Linked DNA regions of Drosophila melanogaster. The protein of the gene in region 1 interacts with the protein of each later gene in a pairwise test. Each region holds a gene or a part of one and is shown on either strand. Other genes may lie near its edges.

Region 1 (16,295 bases):
AGCTGACTTTCGCCCATTTGGTCGAAAGTAAAATGAAGTTACAGGGGGGTCCCTATTGGCCATAACTATAAATATATCAATTGTGGCTCAGCTCTCGCTTAGCCATCACGCATCCAATTTGTTGGCGCATCATCAACTTCATGGCTTCGCCTTCAGATTTACCCCCCACCCCTCCACGCATTGCCACACAAAGTGGCACCTAAAGTGTGTGTAATGCAATTCCATTTTACAGCATTTCTTCATCAGATACTCCTCCGTTTTTTTTTTCTTCTTTTTTTACTCTTTCTTCTCTGCAAATGGACAGAGAGTCATCCGCCGGCAATTTGGAACGATTCCAGTGGACTCCGGGCTCCCATGTCTGGTGTCCAATTATCCTCCCTGCTCCATTCGGGGCTCAGAACTCACTGGATGGAAGCAGATGCAGATGCATATGGAGATCCAGATGCAGACACAGAATGCTGACGACGACCGCGGACACCAATTGGAACGTGCCCGTTTAGTTTTCCTCAGCACGGTTTCAGATGCTAAAATTGCATTAATGCAATTCGCTTTTTTTCTGGTTTGCACTCAAGCCCCCCCCCCCCCCCTCGAGACATTCGTTTTTATTTGGGGAAAAGGGGCGAAAAGTGCCAGTCGAATGTCAAATTGTGTGTATTTTCAGACAGAAGACTTGCATTCTGGGGAATTGTTTAAAGTGACGCTTTTCAAGGGGAAAAATTAGAGAAAGTGTCTCCTTAAACTGAAACGGACCATTTGTAAGTCTTAAGTTACTAAAAGCAATAGCAATGGTACTTTGTTTATTAATCGACTGTTTAATGAATGTGTAAGCTAATTGTTTCTTACATTTCCTGGTTTGACGTTTAATTTGCTATCAAAGATAATCGGCTTATTGCCTATTCCAGTTAAGGAACGCAACGTGTATCCGCTAAATTTACACATAGCAATTATACAACGGATGGTGCTAAATTTCAAGCCCCCGCAAGAGTCAATCAATAAGTAAAATGGTATGGTATCCAAGTCGGGCCACCACCTCAAGGCGTGGCACTTCTGTTGATTGGTGTTCTCTGTTTTCGTGGGGCATGCCACAAGATTAATGAGGAACATTGAAACGCCTAAACTTGTTTTAGACCACGCCGAAACCGACACCCCCGCAAAAGTGCCAGCGACAGCAAACATATAGTATATATAGTATAGTATAGTTTAGTAGTGGCACGAGTATAGTTGTGCAATTGCTAATCCGCCATCTAGCTGGTGACCATAAACCAAACGCCGTCGGGCGCTTAATGAGGCGCAGTCCTCCTCGTTCTGAAAGCCATAGCTTCTATCTTCTACTGTCTTGTGGATTTTCCTCCACGTTTTCCATCAGACTTCGACGACCACGCCAAAGATGTTTCCTTGGCCAACGCAAATATCAACATAGTACATTCATTTGTTGTTGCGCTTGCTTTTGGTTGGTATTATTGCTTTTATTATTGTCGGCTCTGTGCGGTTTTGGCTTTTTCAATTGCACTTGAGGTGCTTCGCATCCTCTCCGTCATCATCAGAGAACACACCTTGAAGGTGGGAAAACGATAATAATAAGACTAAGCATAATAAAAGCCGGATGTCTATTAAAGTTCTTCTCTGAACTGCTGAAATTCTATATTTTTTCTTATTGCCTGTGGGTTGATTGGACTCGAGTGTGTTCCGTATCCGTACATACAAATGTATGTATATGTTGTATACTCTTGGGTGTGTGGGTGTTGGGCTTTTAAATTTACTTCCTCTCATCTCTGGAATTGCTTTTTCGGTATTGAACGGAACAGGAATTAAATTCAGCTCAAGGACTGCAGGTAACGAATAAGGTGGAATTGATTGAAATTGATTGCCTGGATAAAGTTCGAAAAAGTTTTGTAAGTGATGATATATGTATAACTTATTGGCTGAGGTAAGTTTTTTTTTTGGTTTGTGGCTAAAATCTTCGAGTTTTTGAGACAGGCAAAAGGTTTTTAATGTTATTTTTGGAAACAAAAATAATAATATCAAAATAAGAAAAATACCTTTGCCTTGAATCGAGTCAACCCTATTTAACCACATTGACATTTACCAAAGTGAGTCAAGGTACAGATATTTGTTCGCACGCCCACGATATGAGATTTCTGGCAATTCCCACGGGAACTTTGGGCAGAACACGCGCCATGTCCTGATTCGCAAACCACCTCCGAATTCTCTACTCTCCTTCCTTTCGCCAGAGAAAAAGCTGTTCTCAGCATATACACTTGTAGCTGGGACATAAAGACACAAGCGTCTGGCGCGGCAACGCTTAAGGATAATGTGCCGCACGCTCGTGGCGGCCTACAAATGGCAGGGAGTGTCCTTGTTAACCCAACAGTCCAGTCCAGTTCTGATCAGGCACAGAAAAATCAGCGAGGGTGCGCCGGAAAACATGCAAAAACGTGCCGAGCACGAGCCACTGAAGGAAAATGAAGGAAAACTTTCCAAGTTACTGGCAGTTCGTGCCTGCCGTTGACATTTCTCCATCTAATTGCTGCGGCTTGCTTTCGTTTTCGACTCGATTCGAGCCAACAACCCCATCAATCTGTCCAAGCCGCCGCTAACTGACATATTAATTGCTCATAAAGCATAAGCAGTCACCACCAAAAATGTAATCCCCCCTGATTGGGCGCCGGGGGTTGCTCGAGATATTGTGCAAAACATGCAAATTTTCCAGGCTGGGAACCAACCTTTATAGCCGCATGAACTGCCTTTTGACCTAAGCCCATCGCGGCTCAAGTGTCTGTGGCATTATCCTTGCCCGCCAGACAGTTGCCTTAACGCTTCGCTGCCTCTTTGGCAGCGAAAGGATGACGGTCGAGGATGTGAGTGCTCCTGCTAAATTGCTCATTAGCTGGATCACAAACTAGAGTGTAGAGTGGCGAAATAGGAAAGGAAGTTCAGTGCGAGTTTCTACGATCCAGGAAGGACGTGAGAAGTGTTCTGCCTTGGCCCCCAATCCTTTGAGGTAGGTCAGGTGTTAAGGGTTTTAGATTGCCGCTTATGATGTGAAACGTGAGAACATTTAATACAACAATATTTCAAACTTATAGTAACTTTCTATGTTTATTTTTGGATATTCAAGTTTTAATAAATACATTATTCTCTTAATCTTCATGCTGTATTTCATGCAATTTATCTTGAGCATCGCCACCTATTAGCCGAGTGCTCTTCATGCCCAGCATCGTCATCAGCAGCTCTTTGCTGCTTTAATTGGTAAATTGTTCAGCTGATATCACAATTTAATTATCACACATTAATTGCCCGGCGAACGAAACTGCACCCAGGCACTTCGTCGTCGTCGCCGGTAGATATAATGGACGAAGAGCCATCTGGGAACTGCCTACAATCGAATTAAAGTTAATTTTTCATGCTCTACTAAAAGTTATGCACACTTGGCGTTTGTCACCGAAGGTATATACATATATGTTTGGGAGTGTATCCGTGGTTTATATTTTGGTGGCGGGATGGGAAGGGCTGTGGATGCGATTTACGGGTGGAGCACATCCACTCTTTAAGTGGGATGTCAGTCGATGCCGCGAGGCGGTCGTGCTTGGTTGCTCATTTATGACCATGGAGCACTGGAGGAACGTATACGTATCTGCAAGATACTCGTACTCGTTCCCGGCACGCACACAGAATGCAATTGCGGGACGGATCGGAATGGAATGGAGTGGAGTAGAGCAGTGTGGAGTGGAGTGGAATCGGAAGTTGTGGATTCAAGGCTCCGGGTAGCAGCTTTAAGTCACCTTCTGGTCGTTTGATGCTTCAGTGAGCTGCGACTGCAGTCGCTACCCATTTCCTTCGTTCAGTGGGGATTGCAGTTCATCGTGCTCCATGCAACTGGGTTACCTTTTCACTGGGACAGGGCACTGATTTTATTTGGTTCTGTACTCTGAACATGGTTAAGGAAGGGTCACTCCGGTCATGCTTGGGGAGCAGTTAATTAATGTTAAGCTAACTTTAAGTTTCCGCTTTAAAAAGTCGATGCAACATGCAGTTGAGAACTTTTGGGTCACTTAGTTCGGGGAACTTTTTACAGTTGAAAGAAATACGATACAAATTATGTTTAACGTATTGGATGTTCTTGATATTATTATTCAACTTCATCTGGTTAACAATAACATTTGCATATCGATCCGATAGCCAATCGTATTATGCTCCACTATCCTTGGCTGACATTTGCCATTACATCAGGCCTTTCTGCATTACCAATGACATATGACATTTGGATAGCGGCGCATCTGTAAAATTTATGCACGTAATGCGCGCGCTGCGAATGTATCTTTGTATCTCGCAGATGCCATTACATTTACGACCATGCCGCATGACAAAGAAGCTTTTTCCTGTCTGCCTGTCATTCGTCGTCAAAATCTTGATAAATTTCTAGACAAACAGTTCTAAGCTGGAAGTAAAATCAGGGTCTTTGCTCGACCAAATACATTTTATTCTGTGACCAAAAGAACTTTTTGTGGGAATGATAAGTGATGGTACGAAAAATTTTAAAACGAAGTTTATGACTATAAAATGTTTATACATTTTAATATTATTCGGCGTTTTTTAACAATTAAATTAAGTTACGCACGTTTTTAGCCCTAATGTAAGCATTCTCTGTGCTGCTCTAAAGTTCTAATTATTATTCCATTAAAACGAAATATCTCTGATCGATCAATTTAAAAATCCAATTTTATGTACCATAAATTTTTACCTGAGCTAATAGATTTCAGTTCGTCAGAGTCTACCGATATAACATGATGTACACGAAGCTAACTTTATTAGTTTCTTTACTGTTGCTTATGTTAATAGTAAAAGAGGTAATTAACTATTATATATAATGAAATAACAAATCTGAAACCCCCGAATATTATAGATAAAACCCCGAGTGGAGTTTACGAACTTGAAGTGTAGGTCTGTGAACAAAGATTTTGCCGAATTTACGCAATGCACTCTGAAATCGATAAATCGAACATATAAATATATTTCGACAAAGGTTTCACTGCACAAACTGCCAATTACCAAAGCACGGGTAAATATAACATATTTTTTTAAACCTTTTTCCTACTAGTTAACAATATAATAAACATTTTAGGTCAACTTTGGATTGTACAAAAGGTTTAATGGTTACAGGCCGTTTCTATACAATAAAACCCTAGATGCTTGCCATTTTTTCCAACATCAAAAGGCAAATCCTGTAGCAAAGTATTTCTTTGACATGATTAAGGAGTATTCAAACTTAAACCACTCCTGTCCATATAATGTATGTATATTTAAAGGGTTTATGGTTATACCTATATTAATAAAATTCAAATGTCTGCCCCTCATTAGAACGATATTATTGTGGAAAAAGTTTCCACCGATACGGTTAATCACCATGTTACGAAAATTCTCCCTTATCCGGAAGGTGATTATATGTTAGAGACTCATTGGATGCTAAATGATATTTATTGCGGAGTAATTCAAGTGTATATAACTCTGTTCTAAATTATAAGTTACTAACACTAATAGACTGTCACTATTATTCATGATTTCAAATTTAGTTCTCCGCCAAATAAAATAACATCAGCGCTGCAGTATTCATTGGGCCACCATTTATTAACATAATTGTATTATCAAATCAGATAGATAAGCACATCACCACACGATTGATTATTATCAGTAGATAATGAATGGACATTATTTAATTAAATTTGATAACAAAATTATTAGGAAATAAAATAATTTCCCACTAATGATAGCGTTTTATTTATTAATGTATACAATTGCAGCTGAGTTAACCAATTCATCAACATTTTGCCCGTTTTGCCAGTTTCTTAACATCTCACTGCCTCAATTAAAGTCATGAAAAACTCAATCATTCAATCCTACCCCAATCAAATTGAAGTTGCCTGAAAGGCTATAAGCAAATAATTTGTTATGCGACAAAATTGCCATCTTAAATTATATTTGACATTTAGTAATAAATGTTGATTGCGCTTGTTTTTTCTTATTCAATTGTTTCATACACTTAATTGCGTGATCTTCACTTCACACTTTTTTGGATGCCATTTAGTCATACAGTGTTAATTATATATTCTTATAACAAATTCCAGTTTGCAGTTTTAATTGACAGATTTTTTTTCATTCGCATTTTTGGTGTATATTTGCAAAGTTCTAATTTATACGCTTTTTCATGGTTCAATTAACATTTTCGAGTGCAAGTTATTGGCCATGCTTTATCTGTATGAATAAATATGTATGTACATGTATAAGTATGTTTATACTAATATGAGGTAAAGTCGTTGTATTTGCGAAAGGCTTTTCGAAAGTAACCAATGCCAAAATGAACATAAACCAAGTAACTGAAAGAAGCTTTACTGTTACCAACAGAAATTGCCGACAGCGTGGTTTAAGGGGTCTTAATACAAATCATTATGATTAATCATCGCTCACAAATACAGGCAAGTGACTAAGGTACACAGATACATTTTGGTTTCCACGCCCTCGGGTTAAAGATACAAAAAAAAATTAGATTTTCGAGCATTTGCTTTGTTCTTTTCCAGACGAAATATAACGCTACAGGGCGATTAACATGTTTTTTTTCTGCTGATTCAAATTTGAAGCGTGGGCATATCCAAATTTGGCAAATAAACTCGCTTCTTTGAAGTCATAACTTCAATAATTTATTAACGAACGGGCGTAATGCGTTAAAATCAATGTTCGAAAGCGATTTCAAGAGGTATGTATGTAGTTCGTTTGGCGATCAAAACAAGACGGAACTGCAATTGGGGTCAAAGGATGCAAAAAAGAACGATGAAACTGAAACGCGTGCCAGTAATGAAAAAACAAATAAGGCAAGAACAATAAACAGAAGAAATCCCAATAATGCTAGCGTCGCAATTCCAACAAACATAAACATCAAGAAGGAAAATAAAATGAATTAGGAACACACATTGAATCATGGTTGTTAAATACCCTTACACTTAAATACATATGATTGTTAATCTTTAGGTACCCCTTAGTGTGCCAGAAAGTTGACCCAACCAACATTTTCGTAGCATATTGCAATATTATACTGTGCATAGTCGATCTCTTGAGATGAAAATACATCCACTATAAGAGTGTCGCCAATCCCACGGGTATTCGCAAATGGCCGAGCTTAAGTGCATTGGTATAGGGTATCAGATCGCGACCATATGGCGTTTGGGTCGCGTTGCCTTGGCAATGTGACAAAATGCAAATGCGGCTGCTTGGCTAACGGTAAGCTGCAGGAAAACAGTTTCTGTTCTTGATTAAATACACACACAACCATGCCAATCACGCACACACGTTCACGTGCAGGAACAAAATCGCAGAATAACATAAAAAAAAGAGCGCCAGAAACGGAGCTCCCGAAAGAAAATCGATAATTTGGTGTTTTGAGGTCTGTTTTTTATAGTGACCCACCAAAAAATTGGAGCAGCGCTTATTTGCTCAGCTTTCGTAGTATTAAGTAGTATATATTGTATGTATATATGTATGTATGAACGTGAGTGAAATTTATTATTTGAACTCACCTGCGATGATTTAATTGTCAAGTTATGAAGTTGGCGTGAAGCTTTTTCCACAAAACTCCGAAAGCTTAAAAGCAATTTAAAAATATATTTTTGTTGTTGCCGAAAATAAAGCCGAGAAAAACAAACAAAGCGAGAAACTCCGTTTCGTCGGACTGATTACACAACTTTACAGTGTGAAGTTGGAGACTTGGTTTTGTTTCTTTTTATTTTTTTTGTGGGGAGGCCGAATCCAGCAGGTTTTAATTACAGTGTTTCAGGGCCGCAAAGCTTCTCATGTTTCTGGGCCAGCACAATTCATAATTTTCCGAACAACTCGCATTGGAGTTTCGGCCAAATAAATTGGCACCAAACAAATGGCCCACGACGCACACACACACACGCAAACACACACCCGCGCGTGCACGCACACACACGACCGTCGAGAAAAGAGCGCGCAGAGCGACTGACAGCGACTGAGCTGGAAAGCGAACTGAAAACCAAACGAACCAAACCGAAACGCCAACGGCTTGGAGCACAAGCTCCTCAAAGGCGCGAGCGAGCTGGGGAGATAGATAGAGAGAGAGAGCACAGATTCACCCTTTATAACGGTACATTTCAAGACATGTGATTGACAGTTCGCCAGCCTGCATCCCTGACATGGCGTTGCCACTCTGTGGAATTGTGCTACCCTTAATTAAAAGTTTACTGGTTAATTGCAAAGTTGCTATTTTAAAATCGTTATAGGCTGATTTTCGCAGTTAGGTATTTTTTCTCAATTTTATTTATTCTGCATTCACCTAGCATATATCTTCAAAATTGCTATTGCTCCTGCTCGAAGATTGCCATGTCAACTCAGTGTCCTCGAAATCCACGATATCTCCCAGACGCACAGGTCCCTTGACCGTCCGCATGAATTGCATCTTGGGTTGATCGACCAGCTGCACACGAACTTCGGTTAGAATGCCTCGGGCTCCAATCCGATTGAGAATTTTTATGACACGAGCCTTGGAAGCGACAGGTTGGGGCATATTTTTTGACTAAAGTCAAACTAGCTGTGGTAATAAATTGATAAATTTAATGCTGAATTTTTTTCGAATTTTAACTTTCAGACCTAAAATGAACTCCAGACACTAAAAGTACAGCTTTCTAAACATTTAATTTAGGGGTATGTAACTTACAATATCAAATGACAGTTTTGTTTTGGATATTTTAGAATACTTTGAGGTACATCTTTGCTTAATCCCAGCCGCTTATTAAGTTTGAACACTTTCGAACTTTCCGCGCAGCAAGACATCCCTCATTAATCCTGCGAGTTCCTCGTTCTTCTGCGATCGGATCTCATCGATGACTAACTCCTTGAAACCAGGGTCCTTGGCCGGATCGGTGGTTTCTTTTAGCTTCTGCTTCTCTAGCTGCAGCTGCGGTACTTCCATTCCGAATGTGGCTCCAATTCGCTCCACACTTTGGGCGCCAGTATCACCAATTTTCGACCAACTGTCCGTTCCAAACCAAATGCACAGTGGTTCATTGAAGTCCACGACATGAGAGCGGAACGGATGAGCAGGACTGCCAAATCCCAAGTGACAAATGGTGTCCCTCAGGACCTTGGCCAACTTGGGCATCTTCTGGGAATAGAACAGCAATGCGCCACCTATGAGGTGGGCCATCGATCGCAAGCAGCGGCAGGTGTGCTTCCTGATAATAGGATCGAAACCAGAAAACACATCGTACTTCCCACCGACAATTATCACTGGAAAGGGCAGAGGGTCTAGTTTTTCCGAATCTTTGTTCTGCTGACCCACTCGCTCCACTGTTCGCTGTTCGAGGATTTCCCTAAGCTCCGGTGTTACCTTCTCCATCATCTGCTGCGCCGTATCCCTCAGTCCCTTGTATGCGCACTCCAAATCCGTCCAAAATCGCTGTGGCTGGGAGAGATCTAGCATAAGGATGACGGCTAGTTGCTGCAAACCATGTGTCCGCATTGGTACTTCCAGCAATTGCTCGGCATTGTCCAGGGAGCCCAGTTCCCAAACGTTCATCACCTGCGGTGACTTTCCACTGCCAATCCGTCGTCCAAAGCTGTACTCCAGTGCTAGAGTTGGCCGCGTTGCGTGTTCCTCGCGATCAAAGAACTTATTAATGGCCGTCGTCTTACCCTTAAATAATAAAAAATATAATATTTTTAAAAAGGGGTTTGTAGATTTTTAGTGTATAACTTTTTTGGAATATGATTTTACGTGGATTTATAAGTTGGATCCATTGCTTACCACACACTTGCTTCCCAAGACAAGAATTGTCCGCTCTTTGGGAGTCGTTGTGGCCTCCAATTGGCGAAGCCGCTGCTGCTCCTCCGCCAGTCGACCGGCGATGTCCTGAATGCTGGGCGTGGCACTTTCGCCGCCCTCAGTTCTCTTTACAAACATTTTTTGAAGACGCTGGTGCAGGCTATGAAAGATTAGCGGCAAGCGCATCGCAGGAAAAGGGCATAAACTAAACTACTGCGGTTTGTTTTGCATTTAAAACGGTTGCTACTAGCAACTGCGACTGAGTGGCAACTCTAGGCAATATCAAACTGACCGTTACTTTCACCCCTAAGTTGCATAAATTTGAATATACATTTGAACATAAAGGATAGCTTTAATTTTGGATTTCCTTTATTTATTGGTTGTCATCTGATTAAATTAAACATTAAAAAATATATATATTCCAAATAGAAATCCAGCTAACGATAATAATACTAAAGGAACAAGGGAATCGTTTACCGCCATTGATTTGTACGCATTGAAATTTGTTGATTATTTTCTATTCTTTAATCATAAGCCTTCCATCGACTTTAAGCTTAAGTGTTAAAAAAGTGCGCAACAAAAGAGATACATTTCCAATTTCCTTTTGCTATAGGGCGGAACATAAAAGTACAAGCAATGTACAGCGGCAAACAAGATAGACTGAACTGGACGCGACAATCGGTATTGTATAAATAAAACAAGGATAACAAACAATGAAGACGAACTAGGCTGGGCGGTCGGAGGATTTCCGCGGCAACCATATGGAATACTTCGGAATGCTCAGTAGAGCCAGATCTCCTCCAGAATCCCGTTGTCTAGCTGCTCGGCGGGCAGGGCTTTCAGTGTGCGCAGCGTCTCCATGTAGAAGGTCAGCTCTGATGTCACCACCCCGTGCTGCGGACCCCCATTGTTGTTCACATTCAACTTGAGCAGTTGTTCCCGCAGCTTGTCTTTAAAGTTTCGATGAACAACGCCGTAGATTTCGTGTATCTGTGCCTCCGGCAGCACACCGGCGATGGCCTCGTGAAGTTTCACCAGGTGACGCGAGATGTGACGGAATGTCTGAGAAGGTATAGGTGGTCTGGCTTCCCAGGCATCCAGTTGAGCTGCCAATCTCTCGGATACAATTCCGTGTATTTTATTCTCGATCTCCTTGATGTGACCCTGGTAGTCCCGCTCGATAGTTTCGTATCCGCTCATCGCTTGGAAATGCTCTTTCAGCTTGGGCAGTAGCCATAGAACTAGTTGCAGTGCTCGCGAAACCAGAGCCAGGTTGGTGCTCGTTATGGTTTTTAGCCCAGCAACTCGCATTGCTCCTGCTCCGATAATTAGTTGGCAGCTTCTTGAGTTGAAGCAGCGCAGCAGGTCCACCACATTCCTGGCGTGATAGCTGGCTAACAATGGCAGCCGATGTGCACTACAACCGTACTCATACAACATTCGGATGAGCATTAGCGAAGCGCTGACCAACGTGTACGGTTGTTTGCCTTCCACCAAGAGCACTGGGTTGCCTGCTCCATTGCTTATCAGATTGCCCATCTCCGGTTTGGCATAGTCCCCGGCGGCCATACGTTCGATTATTCTCTGAAATTCGTGCGGAATGTCTACTTGGCGCCAGCGCTCCTGATCCAGGAGTAAGGACAACTTCTGCTTTCGTTCAGAATGGAATCGTTGAGCATATCGGGAGGCTTGGACTTTGAGGGCCAGCTGGAGGGGCACACTGGCCACTCCACAAATGCTCCTTGTTGTCTCGCCAAAGTGATCCACAATCTCAGATAGTTGGAAAAGTTCTTGCTCGCTAGCTGAGCTCCTTTCCAGGCTCTGAGGGGACACAATGTTGGCACAACGCTCATGGCAGTAGTGGCAGACGGCTTGAAGCAGTTGTTGCAATTGGTTTTTTAGTTGCTCATGGTGTCCCGGACTCAAAAAGGCTTCTGAATCTATCAGATTCACTGCGTCCTGGGCTCCCACAGCTGCGTCCGCTGTTTGCTGCATTATACCAACTACAGTTTTAATTCTTTCGAGAATGGAAACCAAAGCTTGGCTGGAGCGCTGGAGCAGAGCAATCCATTCGGGAAGGGTGAGCTCCAAGGCTTGCTCTCCGTGGCCCGTTAAACTGATCTCCTGATCGCTGTCACTCCGTGCCAAAACCTCAATCAGCAGCTGTTTTATGATGGCTCGAATGGTGGCGATTGCTTCTTGCTGGTAAGCCTGGACAAAGGAGAAGTTCTGCTTGCGCAACAGGCCCATCACAATAGCTACGAGTTTATCCTCCTCGGCGCAAACGCTGTCGGTTTCCCGGAGGGCATCCGTTAACGGTCGATTTAGATCGGCGGCAGCATAGCGCTCGAATTCCGTGGTAAGCATTTTGTCAATAAGCTTCTCCATTTCGCTAAGCTGCATAGGCAAATGCTTAAAGCAGTGAATGCCAAGGAGTTCGGCGGAAAGTATTTCCTGCGTGGTGCCTATCAAATCCAAGGCTGCCACATAGTCCTGGGTGCCCAGTAGGAGCTGCAGCATCGGTTGCGTCTTGTGTACGGTGGCCATCAGTCGGAGTTTGTCTAGTGTGAGGTTATAGTGCTGTCTTCTTTGGGCGAAACGCAGCACTTTGAAGCTGTCTACAACCGAGTGGCTGTGGAGTTCGGCCAGTGCTGCCCGCAACTGACGTACTTGGTCGGCCGCCTGCTCCATCTCAGCCAGAATAGCGTGCTGCGTGGTCATGGCGTGAAAGAACGCAGCCGATTTCTGCGATACCTGTTGCGCTATTTTAACTTCCACCATGTCCAGGTAGTGACTCAGCTGTTCCTGCAGCTGACGACCAGTTTGCTGATGACTTTCCGGACTGGAAGCCGATGTTTGCATGTAATTAGGAAATACCTGCTTAAAGGTTGCCGGATGATGAAGCTGCAGTTGTGATTTCAGAAAGATCTCGGGCACAGAACTCAAGTGTGTTGGTGTCTGACCACCAGTTCCCGGTCCAGGTGCTCCTTGTGCTCCATTCTCCAGCGGTTTATCACGCTCCAGTTGTTGCTGCCGCCGCTCATGCCAACGATATCGCTTCCCTATGCTGCCCAGATACACGGTAAAATCCGCATGGGTTATATCGGGCAATCGGGGTGATGGGGGCACATGACTTCGTTCCACAAAATGCTCGCCCCACTTTTTGGTAAACAGATTACTCTGCTTTCCTCGCGAGGGATCGTTGAGCACCGCTGGCAGGTTTTGGGCCGCCGAGTAGACTCCCCATTCGGGAGGCATTTCGCGCGTGTGCTGATTGACATGGTACTTGGCGACATGGGCGTCGTAATCGCGATCTGAGACTCCGTCCAGTGGAAGCGAGGCACATACTCCATTGAAGCCATAGCGGCACACAAATGAGCCACCCTCCCGGGTACAGTGACGATTTCGCAGGTGACTGTAATGCGTAATGAGAGCATTTATTAAAACAGCTTTATAAGATCTGAGTAACTTTAATGAATCAATATTCTATTAAATTCCAATTGAATTTGCAACACATTCTATTATCTTTAAAATTACATATATAGAAGTTGTATTGTTTTCCGTATAATCACTTTTAGACAATCCCAAATATAACTTACGTACAAAACACCTCTAAACGAGGTTTGTGAGTTCGACTGCAGCTATACAATTTTAATTATTTCTACCTGTCTGTGCAATTTACCTGGCATTTATCGTTTTAACTCATACATGCATATAAAGTTAAGATAAAAATGGTATTGACTCGTAAGGCTGCTCAAAGTTCTATTATATGGGAAGATTTGGACGACACTCACTTGACGAAGTCGCTGATGCTTTTAAAGTGCTCCCGGGTGCAGTAGTAGCAGCTCTGCCAGCTGGGCGCCACTCCTCCGGCAATTCCACCGACGCTAGCCGTCGATAGCTTTCTGATACCCGAGTTCCCTGCTGCCGGTCCAGTATCAACGGACGTGGCGGCACCTCCGGCGGATCTTGTCGTGGCCATAACACATGCTCTGCGTTTAAAGTGCCGCGCCGTATGGTTTCCCCGGTGGTTCACCTGCTCCCAATCGTTGACGTGTTATGTCAATGTTTGTTTTCTACCTTCGCTCGTCTGCCTCTCTTGCCAGATGTTGCATTTTGGTTGCTCCGCAATAAGTCCACTTTCATTGGCTGTTCGTTCTCTAGCCTTGGAATGGGCACATTTCGTCCGATTTATGGGTGTTTCTGTTGCTTCTGCGGTCGCTTAATTGAGCAATTGTAAGTGGAACAATATTATGACGAAGTTCAGTGTTGTAAAACAGCGGCGGACTGGATGGCAGCTGGCGAGGGCTGGAAACGGTCAAGCGCGCGATGCCAGCAGCTCGAAATTAAAATATGAAAGTAATTAATTTTAACAGAAAATAAATATAGTATATGTTTAGTTAATATAATTAATGTAATTTGAATATCTAAAAAACAAAATATCAAATAAATAGAATTATGCTTTAAAAATTTAAGTTGAATAATAATTATATGTTTTAATTATATTAAACATTCAGGCAGAACTGTTTTATTTTTTAAATAAAAATGTTTATACATTTCCTGGCATACAATCGTATCGTGCAAATCGTGTCTCAAAAATACCAAACGTTATCCAACACTACATCTGAGCAAAATCAGCTGACGACTGACAGTCGAAATTGGGGCGCTCGAGCGAAATTGCGGCGCACCGGCTTTTTGAATCTTTTCGAAGTGGTGCAGCGAATAATTTTGATTATCTAGCTAGCAAAGAACTGCAAAGATAATCATGCGACTGGCACAACGTTACGGAATTGCACTGGTTGCGCTGCTTATGGTTGGGGCGACCGTATTGTTCTTCTGGTCGGAAAATATCATTAACTACGAAAACATCAAGTTCAACAGTCCTGTGGAGCTGGTCTGGTGGTCCAGGGATATGTCCTGGAATTACGACGTGCAGCGCCAGTGCGGAATTCATACTTGCCGCATCACCAACAAGCGGAGCCGCCGTCCGTGGGCCCGGGTTCGTTTCAAAAACCAAAAGTCTAGATTTCTTTTTGTTTCACATCCGGCAGACATGATAAGAATTGGATTGAAAATAATAATAATATAGGGCTCCAACTGTTTGAGATACTGTACCATAGTTCTGAAAAATATGTAAACACATAGCTTAGACTGAGAAATGCATAGCACTGCAGATACAAATTCGCTTACTTCAGTAAGATATGTAATTGTAGATTCATTGTAATTTGATATAATAATAACGGAATGTCTCTTACATTTTTCACAGGGCGTCCTGTTTTACGGCTCAAACATAAAGACGGGAGACTTTCCCCTGCCTCGGAACGAGCACCAAATCTGGGCCCTACTGCATGAAGAATCACCAAGGAACACCCCTTTTGTGTCCAATAAAGAGTTCCTTCGCCACTTCCATTTCACATCCACGTTTAGCCGCTACAGCAACTTGCCGCTGACTACGATGTACTTGCCCAGTGGCGAGGCGCTTACTTCGAAGGATTACTATGTTACGTTTGACGGCAAGTCAAAGTACGGATACCGTCCATCCACATCGGTGGTGTTCCTCCAAAGCGACTGCGACACGATGTCTGGAAGGGAGGACTACGTAAAGGAACTGATGAAACATCTTCCGATCGATTCCTACGGCAGCTGCCTACGGAATAGAGATCTGCCAGAGAGGCAAGTAGGCTATTCCATTTGTATCCTATTTATAATCCCAAACATTTTACACACTCATAACAAACACGCGTGACAAACACATCACGTGAAACACTATCGTTCTAAAATTCCTTTGCCATCATGACATCACCAAGTGCCAACGAGCTTCCCAAGGTCTGTTGTTCAGAGTGCTGGGTGCAGTTGTACGGCTCGCTGCCTCAAATGAGCAACGTTTCCAGAGAATGCTGCTGTCGTCAGGGAAATCATAAAGATCTAGAAGAACCTCTTTTCTGTGATGACGATTCAATAATGGAGTCTCAAAATAGTTCAAATGATTCTGACCAAGATAGCAACGGAAGATGCGGATGCCCTTCATGTCGAGCTGAAAAACACTAATATCTAATTTGCAATCGAAATCGTAAAAATTGTTCAATGCCTATTGATTTTGTTTTAGCTTGCAGAAGGATTACTTGAATAATTTATATTCACCGGAGTTGCTGCGTTTCCTGTCCGAATACAAGTTCATGATTGCCATTGAGAACGCTGCCTGTCCGGATTATATTACCGAAAAGTTTTGGCGTCCTTTGATAATGGGAGTTATTCCAATTTACTTTGGCTCACCCACCATAAAAGTAAGTCCGTATTTCAAATAATAATTTTCACAATTTTTTTTTTATTACATTCTACAAATATTGCAGGACTGGGAACCGAATAATAAATCTGCAATTTTTGTGAACGACTTTCAAAATCCTCAGGCATTGGTAGAGTATCTCAATAAGTTGGCGGATAACAAAAAGCTGTACAATTCGTACCG
Region 2 (16,076 bases), on another chromosome or scaffold:
GTAAAGCTAATTGGTATCATTTTTTAATAAAAAGTACTATCAGTTTATTGATTTTCCTATCACTAGATACCAATATATACAGATTTATGTTATACTTAACGAAAGTGATACTAGTAGAATACATCATCGTAAAACTTAAACAGTAACAATTTGGGCATCAATATCGACAATTTTTAATATTATTTTTTAAGATAATGATGAACAATTAATATTATACTATTAATTATTAATTTAATTTTTAAGTAACTTTAATTTTCAAAATACTTTGTGAAGAATTCAATTGCAATATAACGAAAAAAAAATTTATTCAATTTAAAACGTCAAACAATATCGGCATACAATATATGTACATACCTAGTTAACTTACAGAAAGACGTACACGCAAATGTCTGACTAAAAAAATCTTTTTTTTTTTCAAAAGTCGTTTAAATTGAGTACTGTTATATATGTTATAAAACAGAAGTAACCTTAAATCATTCAAAATTGTTATGTAATATTTTTTTTCGCTCGTAACATTTTATTGAACGATAGGTTATGTTCGACAATTGCGCTATTAGCCAAAGCACATATTTTGTGCTGAACTTCGCAATTTAATACAATTGTTATCAATTAAAAATTTTTATTTTTGTGCTACTTACACAATTGCCCCAAGAATGGCAGCAAATTCTTATCGGCTTTAGATGCAGCACGTAACGCGAACATTTTTCTCGAACTAACTGAGAAGTGTGCGGGCGAGCAGAAGTCCTAGTGATGAGCAAATCGGTAGTCGCGATATATTGAGTATTTACGCTTCCAAAACATATCGAGGTTTTAGTATTTTTGCGTATTCAGACCATAATGTGGACTTACGTTGTTGTTACCGCACCAGGAGAGTGTCCGAATGCCACTTTTATATATACACAATGAACTGTAACTGTTGTGGTTGCCCGACACTAACGACTGATACACCCATGAAAAGGTGGTTTAATGGATTGCAAGCTGATGTGGCTGAGTAGAGGTAACTGCACCAACAAAAATAAGTAAAACAAGAGAGAACGCAAGTACGCAAGAGAAATTTAAATTATTTTATGGCTTATGGATAGAATTTGGAAAATATATGACAAAAAATGATATTAATAGTGGTAGGCGTGACAGTTTTGGGCGGCGTGTGGGCAATAGATTGTGCGTTGCAGCATCGATGAAAAAACTTGCCCTGATTCTTCGTCTCTGGAATGTTAAGTCTCAACTTGTTAAATCACTATCTAGCTTTCGTAGTTCCTGTGATCTCGACATACAGAGGGACATGTGTAGATCGACTCGGCTGGTGATCCTGATATGAAGATGATGAAGAAGATATGGTTGAAAAAGCGAGTAAACAATTCTTAGTCAGTCTGATTGGCAATTAATTTTTGTTTAAAAGATATCAAAAGCAAACAAAATTTTTCGATATTTGTCTTAATACAATTTTTGTCGGCTTGTCTGCCTGAAGAAAAGCGTTATTTTAAAACCTAAAAAATAAATTTGTTTATGTTAAACTGGTTGGTATGGGAAACTTAGGGTTTATTACTTTTGCTAAGCCCTTCCATTTTAGCGAGAAACAGCTATAAACATTTCCTTCCTACCCATCGCTAAAATCTAATAGTTTATCTAGGTTAGGGGTGTTTACGCTTACAAACACATAACTACAATATTTACTCCTTCAAATCATTTTAAGTTATCGATGCATCGATATTTCCCTTGTATTTTTCCACCTGTACCACGTGTGGTCATTTTCTGCAATACATTGATTTCCCCAACGCTCAATGAAAATAAGTAAAAAACTCTTTTCCCGCCAGGAGGAAAAACCTCGGAGCCAATTTCTGGAGGAGGAACAGTACGTGAACCTGACCTCAGGCGCGGCTGCTCGTGAGTGCTGCGGGGATGCTCTTTGGGATTTCGATGGTCAGACCGACGAAGCCTGGCTGGTCCAGTGTCCCAAGGGTGCAGATCCACATCTGCTAGTCGGCAAGCGCATTAGGCTTCCTGGCAGGAAGAGCGTGGGCGATCTCCAGGTTCGTGCCGTCAAAAACTCGACGTTACAGAGCGAGGCACTGGGCTATTTGAGATCTATGGGTCCCTATGCCCTCCGGAAAATTCCCTTTGTCGGCTATGTGGTAATCAGCAAGCGTCTATATGATAAACAACCGCTACCAGGTCAGAAGGAACATACAATTCAAGCTGATCTAACGCTACCCAAGTACCTATTACGAGAACGACATCCGTTGTTCGGGCGCAGCTACAAGCAACGCATCCAATTACCGAAGATGATTTCCACATCTCTTAGTCAAGCAGACGAGAAATTCTTGGAAGCTACTGCCAAGCTTCGCAGCACTGCTAACTACTACAAGATCCGGAGCAAGCTGCACACCACCACACAGACGCTAGAACAAAAAGAGGACGATGTGCGACAGTCGGTGCTTACCGGTCGTACGCCGCAGTTCATGAAGGAAACAATAATCCCGGATCTATATAAAGATCTCTTAGACGAAGAGGACATCGAGAAAAATATAATGAACCCAGCAGAGGAAGTTGGTCCTGCCAAAATGCGCAAGAAAAAATTTAATTCAAACGGTCACAAAACGGGAAATGCAGTAGGGAAATAGACAAAAGAAGCTTAAATTAAATGAAAGCAACGGCCGCTAATGACCTGGACGAAGTAATTGCACAAGAAGGCTTAAAAAAGTCGAATGGAAACCATTAAGAATTAGAGTTTACTTAAGATAAATTCACATACTTACGTAATTAAATAAAAATATGTAACGATTTGGATTATAGATTATCACATATAAGCTGCATAAATTAATGTAGTCATTTAATAACGAAATAAAATTGCACTTTGTCAAGGCGTGTTCACAGCACTATGAACAGCTGACGTTAATATCAGTACCTTAATAGTTGCGGAGAAAGAGCGGTGGTTAAAGTTAAGATTTATATTTAAAAGAATATTAAGAATACGCGTTGCGCATGTTCCGAAAGAGATTTCTGTGCTAAAACAGTTCGATACTTAAAACGTTTAAGTTATTTTACATTACATTACATTAAATTGCATATTGAACGCAATTTAACGTTTTCTCATTCGGCATGTAACAATTAAAAGGACTCACGCGCGTTAAAAAGTTGAATACGCTAGCATAATTTAATTTAAATAATTATTCAGAGTTGCCAATTTTTGTCACTTCAGCAATTGACACCAATCACTTTGCGATTATTAGGCAACCCTTTAAAACTACACGAACAACAGCAAATCGATTTCTCAGTTGTGTTTTAATTGCGTATTTAAAACAATTTGGATCGGGCTATGAATGGAACTGATCTCTGATAAGGATGAAGAGACTTAAAGCGTACCTAAAGGATGGCATCAATGTGGCGGCGGTAATGTGTCTGGGCGATACTATATCCCAGTTCTTTTTTGATAAGAAATCGTTGGACGAATGGGATGCGGGGCGAACCCTCCGTTTCGGCATCGTTGGACTGGTGTTCGTTGGCCCAACTTTGCGCCGGTGGTACCATTTTTTGGAGTCCCGGGTTCCCAAAACCTACTCGCCAATGCGGCGGGGCGTTACCAAAATGCTGGTCGACCAGACCCTTTTTGCGCCACCCTTTACCATGGCCATGTCTTTTTTGGTGCCACTCTCCAACGGAGAGCCCATCGACCGAATCCGGCAGCGCATTCTTGATAGCTACCTATCTATATTGGTCCGCAACTATATGCTCTGGCCGGCCGCACAGATGCTAAACTTCAGATTCGTGCCGCTGGGCTACCAGGTGCTCTACGCCCAGTTCATCGCCCTCGTATGGAACTGCTACCTCTCCATGATACTTAATAGCTAGGGCACTAAGTTCCCCGCATAAGTAATACGGTGCCTGTGTATCAAATTTAACAAATACATTATTATCCTTATCTCGACATGTGACTTCGGACTGGATTTGGTTGTCGTTTTTTTAGGGGTATTCGGCGGAAAGGCTGTACATATAGAATGGAATTTATAGTATACATGTATTATAGGCACTCGAGTTTTAATCCTACAAAGCACTTCAAAAAATTTTGCTTGAAATCTTATTTCCCTCCGTTATTAGTCGGTTGGGCATGTGCTTCTCAAAATATTTACTCGATCATTTAAATTTGAATTGGATAAGCAAGATTGTATCATAACGACGTCACGCCCAATCTAACGCCCACAATTTCTGTGGGCGTTGTGTTGTTATTTTGTTTTCATTTAATTATCTGTCATGATATTGACATACCACAAAAATTTTGCCACACCCAAACTGTTATGCCCACTCTTAAGAATTATTTTTCGATTTTATTTTATAAATTCTCTTGGCTGTTTCTATCGATTTGCCAAACGTATTTTAGCCACGCCCACTGTTCCCACTATCTGAATAACGGGTAAACCTTTTATTTCTGACATTTTAAGGCAGATTGTGGGAGGTAGGGTTAAACAACAAACGTTCTGCAACAATCTTGAAAAATGTGGCGTCACTTGAATCTACATGCTCTGAGCTCTCTAGAGTTCATAGTTCCGAAAATATCAATTCTCCATAAGTTTGTTCCTTTCTACATTTCTATTTTACGATTTAGGGGAATAAACTTTTGAAAAGTGCGTCAACGGTATCTTCTGACAGTTTCCCACAAGTTGTTGATATCCTGTTGTTTAACGTGAGATAGACGATTTATGGATAGAATTTACCTTAGTAGCGCCAAAAATACCGCAAACTGCGCACGCACGAAGCTGAGAATGTAAGCAGCCAATAGTGGAATACACTTCATGTGTACATGTGCAAATAAACACCCTGCAATTCAATTCATTTAACTTTTATCTATATGTCATTTCTTAGAAAAAATCTCTATTGCTAATCAGCCCTCAAAACAGTGAAATTATTGATTATTTTTTTTTCTTACTAACTAACTAAGTCTCTAACTACATGGTCATAACAACAATGCTTTAAATCAGATGTGTAAATATGCACATCTGCAGTCGGTGTCAGTTGAAGATATTTCAATAGGTCATAAAATGTGCACAAAGGCCAACAAAAAAAAGTTGTGCCATGAAATTTTAAATAACAAAATTATGCTTTGATACAGTTTGCGCACATATTTGCTGTGGATTGAGGAGCTGTTAGCATGAAATTCTTAAGTCCAATTTTTCAATTTACATTTTCATTGTGAACAGACCTTTATAGTCTCATCACACTATCGATATTAAAGAAAACGAATATATTAAATATATTTATTTCATTTTTTAATAATGCTCAAGGAAATTAGAGAGATAATAAATATTATCTGGCTTGGGAATCAAACCCCTTCCAAATTACTTTCGTACGAGTCATTACACAGTAACAACAAGACATTTTCCATGTACTCGTGAACATTACATTTTGAAGTGTGCCATCGGTTAATTTAGGTATCGATAGTGATAGGTATGAACGGGTCTTAGGACTAACAACTAGTTGTTTAATTCTCTCCTCTGCCTTATAGTATCGATAACATTTACATACAATGATGTGTAAATTAAAGTGTGGTGTAATTCGAAAATAGACAGAAATTATGTTCAGTGACTTGCGATGTAAAGAAATAATAGTTAATGAGTGAAATATAGGAAAACAAACAGTAAGCCGGATTTCCGATTGTTCACTAGAAAACTATCGCCGTTCCATAATTCAGATATACATACAAAATTGTCATTTTTTGCTAAATATTAAAAAAAGTGTAATAAAATCATTTAACGTTCCAGTGTATATTGCATTGCTTTAGAATTATTAAGAAAATACAAATTTTCTTTAACTGGTATACAACGTTGTATGTATGTAAAAATTAAAAACGGCCATGCAATCATTTTGTTTTATGTACTTAAGTATATATTATATTTATGTAAATAGTATTTTTAAAAAGTGTGGCTCTTATTTAAATACATTGTTAGCTGCGTTTCACACATACGAAATTAAATGCATCATGCATTGGGAAAGATAGCAGCAAAATAAAATTTGCTGTATATGATGTGCATGTGTATGCATATAAATATATACATTTTGTATAGATGTGTGTGCACCAGAATATCCCAAAAATTCCAAATGCAAAAGATCGAGTTTTACTTCTCTCAATAATCTTTGCCTAAAAACATTTAAACTAAGTGCACTTACATTTTACCGGTTTATTATATGTATTTAAATTCGGGCGCTGGCCAAATTTGTATGTATGTATGTGCAGTATGCATATATGCATTTGCAATGAAATTACCAAATATTGTGCACGCTCGCCCAAATTTGAAATCCTGGAATAGCCGTGAATATACTTTAAAACTACATAAATTCTCTATAACGAAATGGCTTGGAATAAGTGGCCTGAGTGCGAATATATGTAAGTGGAAAAAAATTGAACGTTTGGAACTGAATTTGTTCAAAGTTTTACAATTAATGTGTTAGGTAGAGGAAATTTTTTATTGCAAAAACGAGATATGCTTATATAGCATACATAGGAAACTCCTTAGCTTGGGATTTCCATTCCATTAATATTTATAGCATGATATGGATTCATGTTTAATATATATGTACAGTTGCGGTCAACATATTAGCGGCAGTAGCGGAATATATTTTGGTCGGTTATAGTCCTATTCGGAGACAGTAAATGGTAGAGCACGTTGGTTCATGAATTATGCTTTGGGTGAGATTTTCATATTAAGGAGTTGAGCCAGTATATCTGAAGCTCCATCTTCAGTTCCGTCACCGGGTTCTTGCTTTGCCGAACCAAGCGCTTGGATGCTTGGAGAGCATCCAAGTTGGACATTGAAGGCTTTCCTCGCCGCGTTTCGTTCTTTTCGACAAACAGCAGTGATTTGCGGATCATTTTGTTTGAACAACCGACAATGCGACCAATTTCAGCGTAGGTTTTACCTTCAGAGATCACGTTTTTAATCAAATTTCTTTTTTCGACGGTACAATGCTTTCCGTGACCCATGACTAGAGAATTTTTGGTCTTCGTTTGGAGCAAATTCAATTAAAACCTTTAATGCAACACCTTTTTTTCAAAATTTGTCGTAAAAAAAACCAAAGCAATCACTCCCATTAATTTTATTCAGCAAATACGTTTTCAGTGCTATTTTTGTTACCGCCTCATTTCGCGCACTTTTGCAGCAAGTGCCCAAAAACAAAAAGAACCGTTAAATTGAGAGACTAAAAATTTATTGCTCAAAGAGGCAACATATGGTACTTATTATTCATGCAATCTGGCTTAAAAAAAAAAAAATTTATAATTTTTTTTAGGATATCAATTTTCCACCTGCAGTAGTGCTATTATTTTAACCTTAACTGTAGTTTCAAAACTATTTGTACGACATCATTTTAAACTATGCGATAAACTACCCATGTTTCAGGGAAGTACACTTACAGCCAACCCACAGTTTTTGTTTTGACGTGATTAAATTTTTAAACTGAGTTTTTTTGGCTGTGAAGATTTTCAAAATTACGATTTATTGGGTGTTCACGAAATACATTTATAATCTATATGTAACAGCATTTCAATGTTTGGTGATCCACACAAATAGAATTCGAAAGAATACTATAGTCGAGTTCCCCGACTCAGATACCCGTAACTCAGCTAGTGTGAATGCGAACGCGAAATTGCTTTATTTTTCTGGGATATCAATATTAAGGAATAAAATGAGAAAAAATTTAAAATTTGTTTTAAAATGTGAGCGTGGCAGTTTTGCGCGGTTTTAGGGCGTTAGAGTGGGCGTGGCAACATAGGTTAACAAACTTTCGCTCCGTATTTGTCTTTAGAATCTGTATGCTGAATCTCAACCTTTTAGCTGATATATACAGCTGTGTTCATAAAAATAGCAGTGCTTGGGACTTGCGAGTTTAGGATAAAAAATCATATGATTTAAAGTTGTAATGGGAATTTTTTTCATAATTTTATTATTATATCAAACAATTCAACATATGTTTCACTTTTATTTTTTCAATAGATATAGATTAAAACAACATAATAGGCAGAAATTCTGGTGTTCACTGAAATAGCAGTGATATGAAAAAATAGTAACAACATGACTTAGAACTAACATAGTTTTTTTTTAATGTGTTAATTAGGGACTAATACCTGGTTGGATTGCCTTTTTTAGCCAGCACAGCCTTACACCTACTCGGCATGGAGTCCACGAGGACGTTTGGGGGAATTTTTGCCCATGCATCCTGCACAACTTGCCAAAGCTGAATCTTGGACATCGGGGAATTCTTCGACACGTATTGTTTAATGTCCCCCCACAGGTTTTCAATCGGGTTTAAATCGGATGATGGTGCTTGCCACGGCATTGCATCTATTCTATTTTGGGTGAACTTATTCTTAGCCGATTTGCTTCTGCGTTTCGGATCATTATCCTATTGGAATGTCCATTATAAGGGCATATTCCATTCAGCATATGGCAGTAAAACATCACTAGGTATATTTACATACCATTAATCATATGTATGGGACCCACACCGTTGTATGAAAAACAGGCCCATACCATATTTATGTCCACCGTGCTTAACATTCTTGAGTGTGTGGCTTGGGTTGTACTCGGTCTTTGGAGGTCGTTGGACATACTGTCGTGAACCAGTTCCAGTTCATATTTTTGACTCATCAGTCCAAAGGATATTAAGCCATTTGGAGACTGGACAGTTTCTGTAGGTTTTAGCGAAGTTTAACCTTGCGTTCATTCGTACATGGCCAGATCGACTCGGCTATTGATCCTGATCAAGAATATATTTTCTTTATATGGTCGGAAACGCCTACTTCTGCCAGTTAAATAATTATCAACGAATCTAGTATACCCTTTACTCTACGAGTAACGGGTATATATATATATATATATATATATATATATATATATAACTACTTTCCTTATTGTTTTTTCAGGTTTACATGATGGTCATACAAGTTATTGCTCCAAGTTAAATTATCTTGAATGGAACGGATAATAAAAATTGCAAGAATGACACCAACGCAAAGGAAATTTTAATATTTACGTAAAATTTCAAATAAATAAGGGACATACAAGCGCCTACAAGTAACAATTTCATAAATAAGGTAGCTTTGATAGTCCTGTTTAAGGAGCGATTGTGGAGATGAATTTTGTTCTTAGTGTGTTGTTAATAGCAATTCTTAAAGATAAGTATGATTACTGGCTGCCATCGAGGACAGGTTGTCAAACCCTGGCAGCAAATATATGGTCTGACAAGACGACTGCGCAAAATGAGCCGATAAATTTGACTAATGCAAATGCACCGATAAAGAATGCAAAGAATCTGAATTCTACGATTACAAATGTAGCTGCGTTTGACACCAAATTGAATCACCTATTAGTGGACACCATTACTGGACGAGTCTTCGTTGGTGGTGTTAACAGGTTGTATCAGTTGTCGCCTGATTTGGAGCTTTCCGAAACTGTGAAAACGGGGCCTCAAAATGATTCCGTCGAGTGTAGCATTCTTGATTGTCCATTAAATGCAGTTCGCAGTCCGACGGACAATTATAATAAGGTCTTGCTCATTGATCGTGCAACTTCAAGACTTATTGCGTGTGGATCACTATTTCAAGGTACATGCACAGTTCGTAATCTTCAAAATGTCAGCATAATTGAGCATGAAGTTCCTGATGCTGTTGTGGCTAATGATGCCAACTCCTCAACCGTAGCATTTATTGCGCCGGGACCTCCACAACATCCGGTGACTAATGTGATGTACGTCGGAGTTACATACACAAATAATTCACCGTACCGCAGTGAAATTCCCGCAGTTGCATCCCGCTCCCTCGAAAAGACTAAAATGTTTCAGATTGCTTCCTCGGCAGTTACAACTGGAACGAGAACTTTTATAAACTCATACGCACGTGAAACATATTTTGTCAACTATGTTTATGGATTCAGTTCTGAGCGATTTTCTTACTTTCTAACAACACAGTTAAAGCACAGTCACCATTCTTCTCCTAAAGAGTACATAACGAAACTCGTACGAATATGTCAGGAAGACTCGAACTATTATTCTTACACTGAAATTCCAGTGGAATGTATAAGTGATGCTCAAGGCGGCACTAAATTCAACTTGGTTCAGGCTGGATTCTTGGGAAAACCTAGCTCAGACCTGGCTCAAAGCTTAGGTATATCTATTCAAGATGATGTCCTCTTTGCTGTTTTTTCAAAAGGAGAAGGGAATACACCAACGAACAATTCTGCACTCTGCATTTACTCATTAAAATCTATTCGTCGAAAGTTTATGCAAAACATAAAATCCTGTTTTAACGGAAGTGGCATGAGGGGCCTGGACTTTATATCACCCAGCATGCCATGTGTTCTAACGGTAAGTATAGTTTTATTGACTACTTTAGCTTCAAAGTAAAATCCTTTTAAAAAGTAATGTCTTATTGTAAAGTGCTCAGTGTTTACTTAATTATTTCTAAGCCCTTTAAAGTTAATTCCCACGTTTCGTCAAATTATATATATATATTTTTATATATATATATATACATGTATTATATATATTTATATTTATATTTATATTTATATTTATATTTATATTTATATTTATATTTATATTTATATTTATATTTATATTTATATTTATATTTATATTTATATTTATATTTATATTTATATTTATATTTATATTTATATTTATATTTATATTTATATTTATATTTATATTTATATTTATATTTATATTTATATTTATATTTATATTTATATTTATATTTATATTTATATTTATATTTATATTTATATTTATATTTATATTTATATTTATATTTATATTTATATTTATATTTATATTTATATTTATATTTATATTTATATTTATATTTATATTTATATTTATATTTATATTTATATTTATATTTATATTTATATTTATATTTATATTTATATTTATATTTATATTTATATTTATATTTATATTTATATTTATATTTATATTTATATTTATATTTATATTTATATTTATATTTATATTTATATTTATATTTATATTTATATTTATATTTATATTTATATTTATATTTATATTTATATTTATATTTATATTTTTATTTTTATTTTTATTTTTATTTTTATTTTTATTTTTATTTTTATTTTTATTTTTATTTTTATTTTTATTTATATTTATATTTATATTTATATTTATATATATATTTATATTTATATTTATATTTATATTTATATTTATATTTATATATATATTTATACTGGAAATATTATTTTATGTGATACACTAGATTCGTTGCAAAGTGTGTAACAGCCAGAAAGAAGCGTTTCAGACCATGTAAAGTATATATTTATTGATCAAATTAATAGACGAGTTGAAATGGTCATTTCCATATGAACGCCTCGATCTCAGGAACTATAAAAGCCAGAGATTAAGCAGGTAGAATCCAAAGAAATAGACGCAGCCCAAGTTGATTTTTTAAATGTTGCAAAGCAATATCTTACGGAGTTTTGAGAAATGTCTGAAAAATTCCGTTACTAGTAGAGTAAAAGGGTATACTAAATTCTTAGAAAATGTGCTTCCTTGTGTGTGACGTGACCATATAAATTATATAATTTTTGATCAGGATCAACAGCCGAGTCGATCTGGACCGTGTGTCCGTCCGTATGAACGTCGTGGTCTTAAAAACTATAATCGGACAAAACTGACACGTTAAAAAATTGTTTTGATGTTTGTATTAGTCTTGTGAATTTTGTATCGAACGCCAAAAAATTGTCCAAAACTGTCACGCCCACACTTTTAAAAAAATGGTTTTCCCAATTTTTACAGATATCCCAGAGAATATTGAAATCTTTCACACTTTCAGCTAAGTAACGAGTATCTGATAGTCGGGGAACCCGACTAGCATTTTCTCTTGTTTTTTTTTATGAAGAGTTTTTTTTTAGTAGAGTAAAAGGGTATACTAAATTCTTAGAAAATGTGCTTCCTTGTGTGTGACGTGACCATATAAATTATATAATTTTTGATCAGGATCAACAGCCGAGTCGATCTGGACCGTGTGTCCGTCCGTATGAACGTCGTGGTCTTAAAAACTATAATCGGACAAAACTGACACGTTAAAAAATTGTTTTGATGTTTGTATTAGTCTTGTGAATTTTGTATCGAACGCCAAAAAATTGTCCAAAACTGTCACGCCCACACTTTTAAAAAAATGGTTTTCCCAATTTTTACAGATATCCCAGAGAATATTGAAATCTTTCACACTTTCAGCTAAGTAACGAGTATCTGATAGTCGGGGAACCCGACTAGCATTTTCTCTTGTTTTTTTTTATGAAGACATCCAGTTTTAGAATTAGCATTCGTGGAAAAGGCAATTTAAAATAATTTATTCTCGCATATAATGAGCTAAAAATATTATTTAAAGGTACTTCTTTATCTATAGGCGTGGCTATTCGTTATTCGTATGCCAATATGACTGTCCTTTTACTTCAGCTATTATGCTCTTCGGAATCTCATATCCTAAGAATTATTTTATCTTAGCAAGAAAATGAAATATCAGTTGCTTATTGGTAATTTTTTTGGATGCTGACAAATTGATTTCAGAAACTGCAAACCATTGGAGAGGACTTCTGTGGATTAGATGTAAACTCACCTTTAGGAGGAGAAACCCCCATTACTTCAGTACCGGTGGCCATGTTTAACACAAAGTTAACTTCTGTTGCTGCTACGAGTACAAGCGGGTATACCGTTGTCTTCGTGGGGACTAGCGATGGATTTCTTAAGAAAGTTGTAATCGAGTCTTCATCTATTGCCAACGAGTATGCTAGTTTTGCAGTAGATTTAGGGTCTGAAATTAATCGGGATATGCAGTTTGACAACCAAAACCTTTATATATATGTTATGTCCAAAACAAAAGTATCCAAGGTTAAAGTATTTGATTGCTCTGATTACAAGACATGTGGAGATTGCTTAGGTGCTAGAGATCCATATTGTGGCTGGTGCTCATTGGAAAATAAATGTAGCCCACGCTCCAACTGCCAAGACGACGCAAACGATCCTCTCTATTGGGTTAGCTATAAAACAGGGAAATGTACAACAATAACAAGTGTTGTGCCACACCAGCTACAACGTACTACAGCTCGAACCTTAGAGCTAATCATAGATCATTTGCCTCAGCTGAAAGAGAATTTAATATGTGCTTTTACTACAGAGGATAAAGCCCTTTTCACTAATGCTACAAAAAAACGAAATGGCGTAAACTGCACGACACCACGAACGGATATGCTACCCCAAATTGAACAAGGGAAACATCACTTTACTGCCAAACTATCTGTTCGCACCAGAAATGGACCCGACTTAGTGTCCACGGATTTTACTTTCTTTGATTGCAGTACGCACTCTTCTTGTACACGTTGTGTGTCCTCGGAGTTTCCATGTGATTGGTGTGTTGAAGCTCACAGGTGCACACACGACACAGCTGAAAACTGCCGGAACGATATTTTGGTAACAGGTGTTAGCCGGATAGGTCCTAGTTACAGATCAGGTCCCGGATTTTGTCCAACGATCAACGCTACAGGTGATGGAAGTGAAGTACTTGTCGCTGGTGGTACAAGCAAATCCATTAAAGTAAAAGTTCATATTATTGGGCAATTTATAGTTCAAACGCGGTTTGTTTGTCAATTTAATATTGAGGGACGTGTAACTAGTTTAAACGCTCAGTTGTTGGGTGACACCATTTACTGCGATAGCATGGAATTTCAGTATACTTCTAGATCGCCCAATTTGACAGCAACTTTCGCTGTAATATGGGGCGGGTCGAAGCCACTTGACAATCCTCATAATATACATGGTGAGTTGTATTTAGAATAAGATTTTTAAAATTTTACTCTTAAAATTTTATGTTTTGCAGTTGTTATATATCGATGTCGAGAAATGGCCGACAGCTGTGGTATATGCTTGGCCCTATCTGAAAAGTACAATTGCGGATGGTGCTCGTCTACTAATACATGCGAAGTTGAAGAACAATGTAATAAAAACAAAGAGGGGAAAACTGATTGGTTAAATCGAAGTGAAATTTGCCCAAACCCTGAAATTCATACATTCCAACCAAAAACAGGTCCCTGGGAAGGAGGAACAAATATAACAATACGAGGAATTAATTTAGGCAAAAACTATAACGATATTTATTCAGGAGTTCGAATAGCTGGTATAAATTGTATGCCGTTTCCTCAATTTTATATTGACACTAAGCAAATAGTATGTACCGTGGATAGTCCTGGAGAACAGATGTATAGAAATGGCAAAATAGTGGTACAAATTGGGGACTACCGTGGTGAGTCCAAAGAGGACTACGAGTTCGTTGACCCGAAAATTTTGGATTTTAATCCAAAGTTTGGTCCAACTTCAGGTGGAACCGAAATACATATAACTGGAAAGCACTTAAATGCCGGCTCTCGTATACAGGCATCCATAAACGATCACTTACCGTGTAAAATACTAAGCACAGATTCTTCTCAAGCAATATGTCGCACTTCTGCTTCCCCTGGTATTATTGAAGGAAGACTAAAAATGTCTTTTGATAATGGGCCCCGAGAGTTTAATGACTACAATTTTAAATATGTACTGGATCCTACAGTTGAACACGTTAGTTCTGGACCAAGCGGGCAAATAAAAGTTCCAAAAGGAATACCAGCAGGCGGTATACGAATTTCTGTAACGGGTACCCAATTTACCAGTATACAAAATCCCAATATTTATGTAGTGTATAATGGAGAGATGTATGCAAGCCCATGTCGGGTGCAATCGGATACGGAAATGGAATGTGCATCTCCAGTTGTTGATGTGGACAGCCATGTTATTGAAGCGGAAAGGCCAATTCTTCTTGAATATGGGTTCCTAATGGACAATGTTTTGCGTGTTCAAAATTTATCTAAGGTTCATAACAACCATTTCGAGCTTTACCCAAATCCAGAGTATTTTATATTCGAAGAAAGAGTTAAGTACTTTAAGAGTGAATACTTAACCATAAATGGCCGAAATTTGGATCGCGCTTGCAAAGAAAGTGATGTAGAAGTAAAGATAGGAAATGGATTTTGCAATATTACATCACTTTCAAGACAACAACTAACATGTAGACCTCCTTCTGAAGCAACAGCAACCAAAAGCATGAATGGACCTGAAGTAATTGTTCGTATTGGAACTTCGCTAGAGTATCGTATCGGTATACTTAGCTACGAATCGTCTAACATCATTTTGGATTGGGGAGAAAATGTAATTTTTGCTGTAATAGCCACAATTGTTATCTTGCTGCTGATTTTTGTTGCTTTGCTTGTGGCTTATAAAAAGAAAAGTTCGGAATCGAGCCGAGTTCTTCGAAACATGCAGGAGCAGATGGACATTCTGGAGCTACGAGTCGCAGCTGAATGTAAAGAGGCCTTTGCCGAACTCCAAACTGAAATGACTGATCTCACAGGCGATCTTACTTCTGGAGGCATTCCATTTTTGGATTACCGGTCATATGCAATGAAGATTCTATTTCCAAACCATGAAGACCACATTGTACTACAATGGGAACGTCCTGAGCTTCTTCGGAAAGAAAAAGGCTTACGTATTTTTGGCCAACTAATCATGAATAAAACTTTCCTCCTGCTTTTTATACGAACCCTGGAGTCCAACCGATACTTCTCAATGCGAGAACGAGTTAATGTGGCCTCCTTAATAATGGTCACTCTGCAATCTAAACTAGAATATTGCACAGATATATTAAAAACTTTATTGGGAGACTTGATCGAAAAATGTATAGAAGGAAAGAGTCATCCAAAGCTCTTACTACGACGAACTGAAAGTGTGGCAGAAAAAATGTTAAGTGCTTGGTTTACATTCCTTCTTTACAAGTTTTTGAAGGAATGTGCTGGCGAGCCTTTATATATGCTTTTCCGAGCTGTGAAAGGACAAGTAGACAAGGGTCCTGTTGACGCTTGTACACATGAGGCAAGATACTCCCTTAGTGAGGAAAAACTTATACGACAGTCTATTGATTTTCGACCAATGAACGTTTATGCAAGCATTATACAGCAGCCAATATTTTGCAATAACTTAGATAT

The links.
Region 2: the proteins of CG3769 (region 1) and CG11076 interact in a two-hybrid assay, tested with the Drosophila melanogaster proteins (one large-scale study listed by BioGRID).

What each region holds. Positions count from the first base shown.
Region 1 is NT_033779.5:9,429,230-9,445,524, reverse strand, and holds CG3769 (uncharacterized protein), read right to left. Parts: upstream 10,127-16,295; 5' UTR 10,016-10,126; coding exon 9,812-10,015; intron 9,701-9,811; coding exon 8,798-9,700; 3' UTR 8,683-8,797; downstream 1-8,682. Other genes in the region: CG33723 (uncharacterized protein), read left to right, coding at 4,785-4,847, 4,904-5,059, 5,123-5,290, 5,359-5,514; RpS28-like (ribosomal protein S28-like), read right to left, coding at 8,342-8,572; scat (scattered), read right to left, coding at 10,610-13,244, 13,624-13,811; FucTB (alpha1,3-fucosyltransferase B), read left to right, coding at 14,595-14,828, 15,096-15,502, 15,936-16,113, 16,180-16,295.
Region 2 is NC_004353.4:1,016,516-1,032,591, reverse strand, and holds CG11076 (uncharacterized protein), read left to right. Parts: upstream 1-1,616; 5' UTR 1,617-1,781; coding exon 1,782-2,621; 3' UTR 2,622-2,881; downstream 2,882-16,076. Other genes in the region: ATPsynbeta (ATP synthase, beta subunit), read right to left, coding at 639-702; mitochondrial inner membrane protein MPV17, read left to right, coding at 3,343-3,849; PlexA (plexin A), read left to right, coding at 9,121-10,350, 12,577-13,822, 13,883-16,076.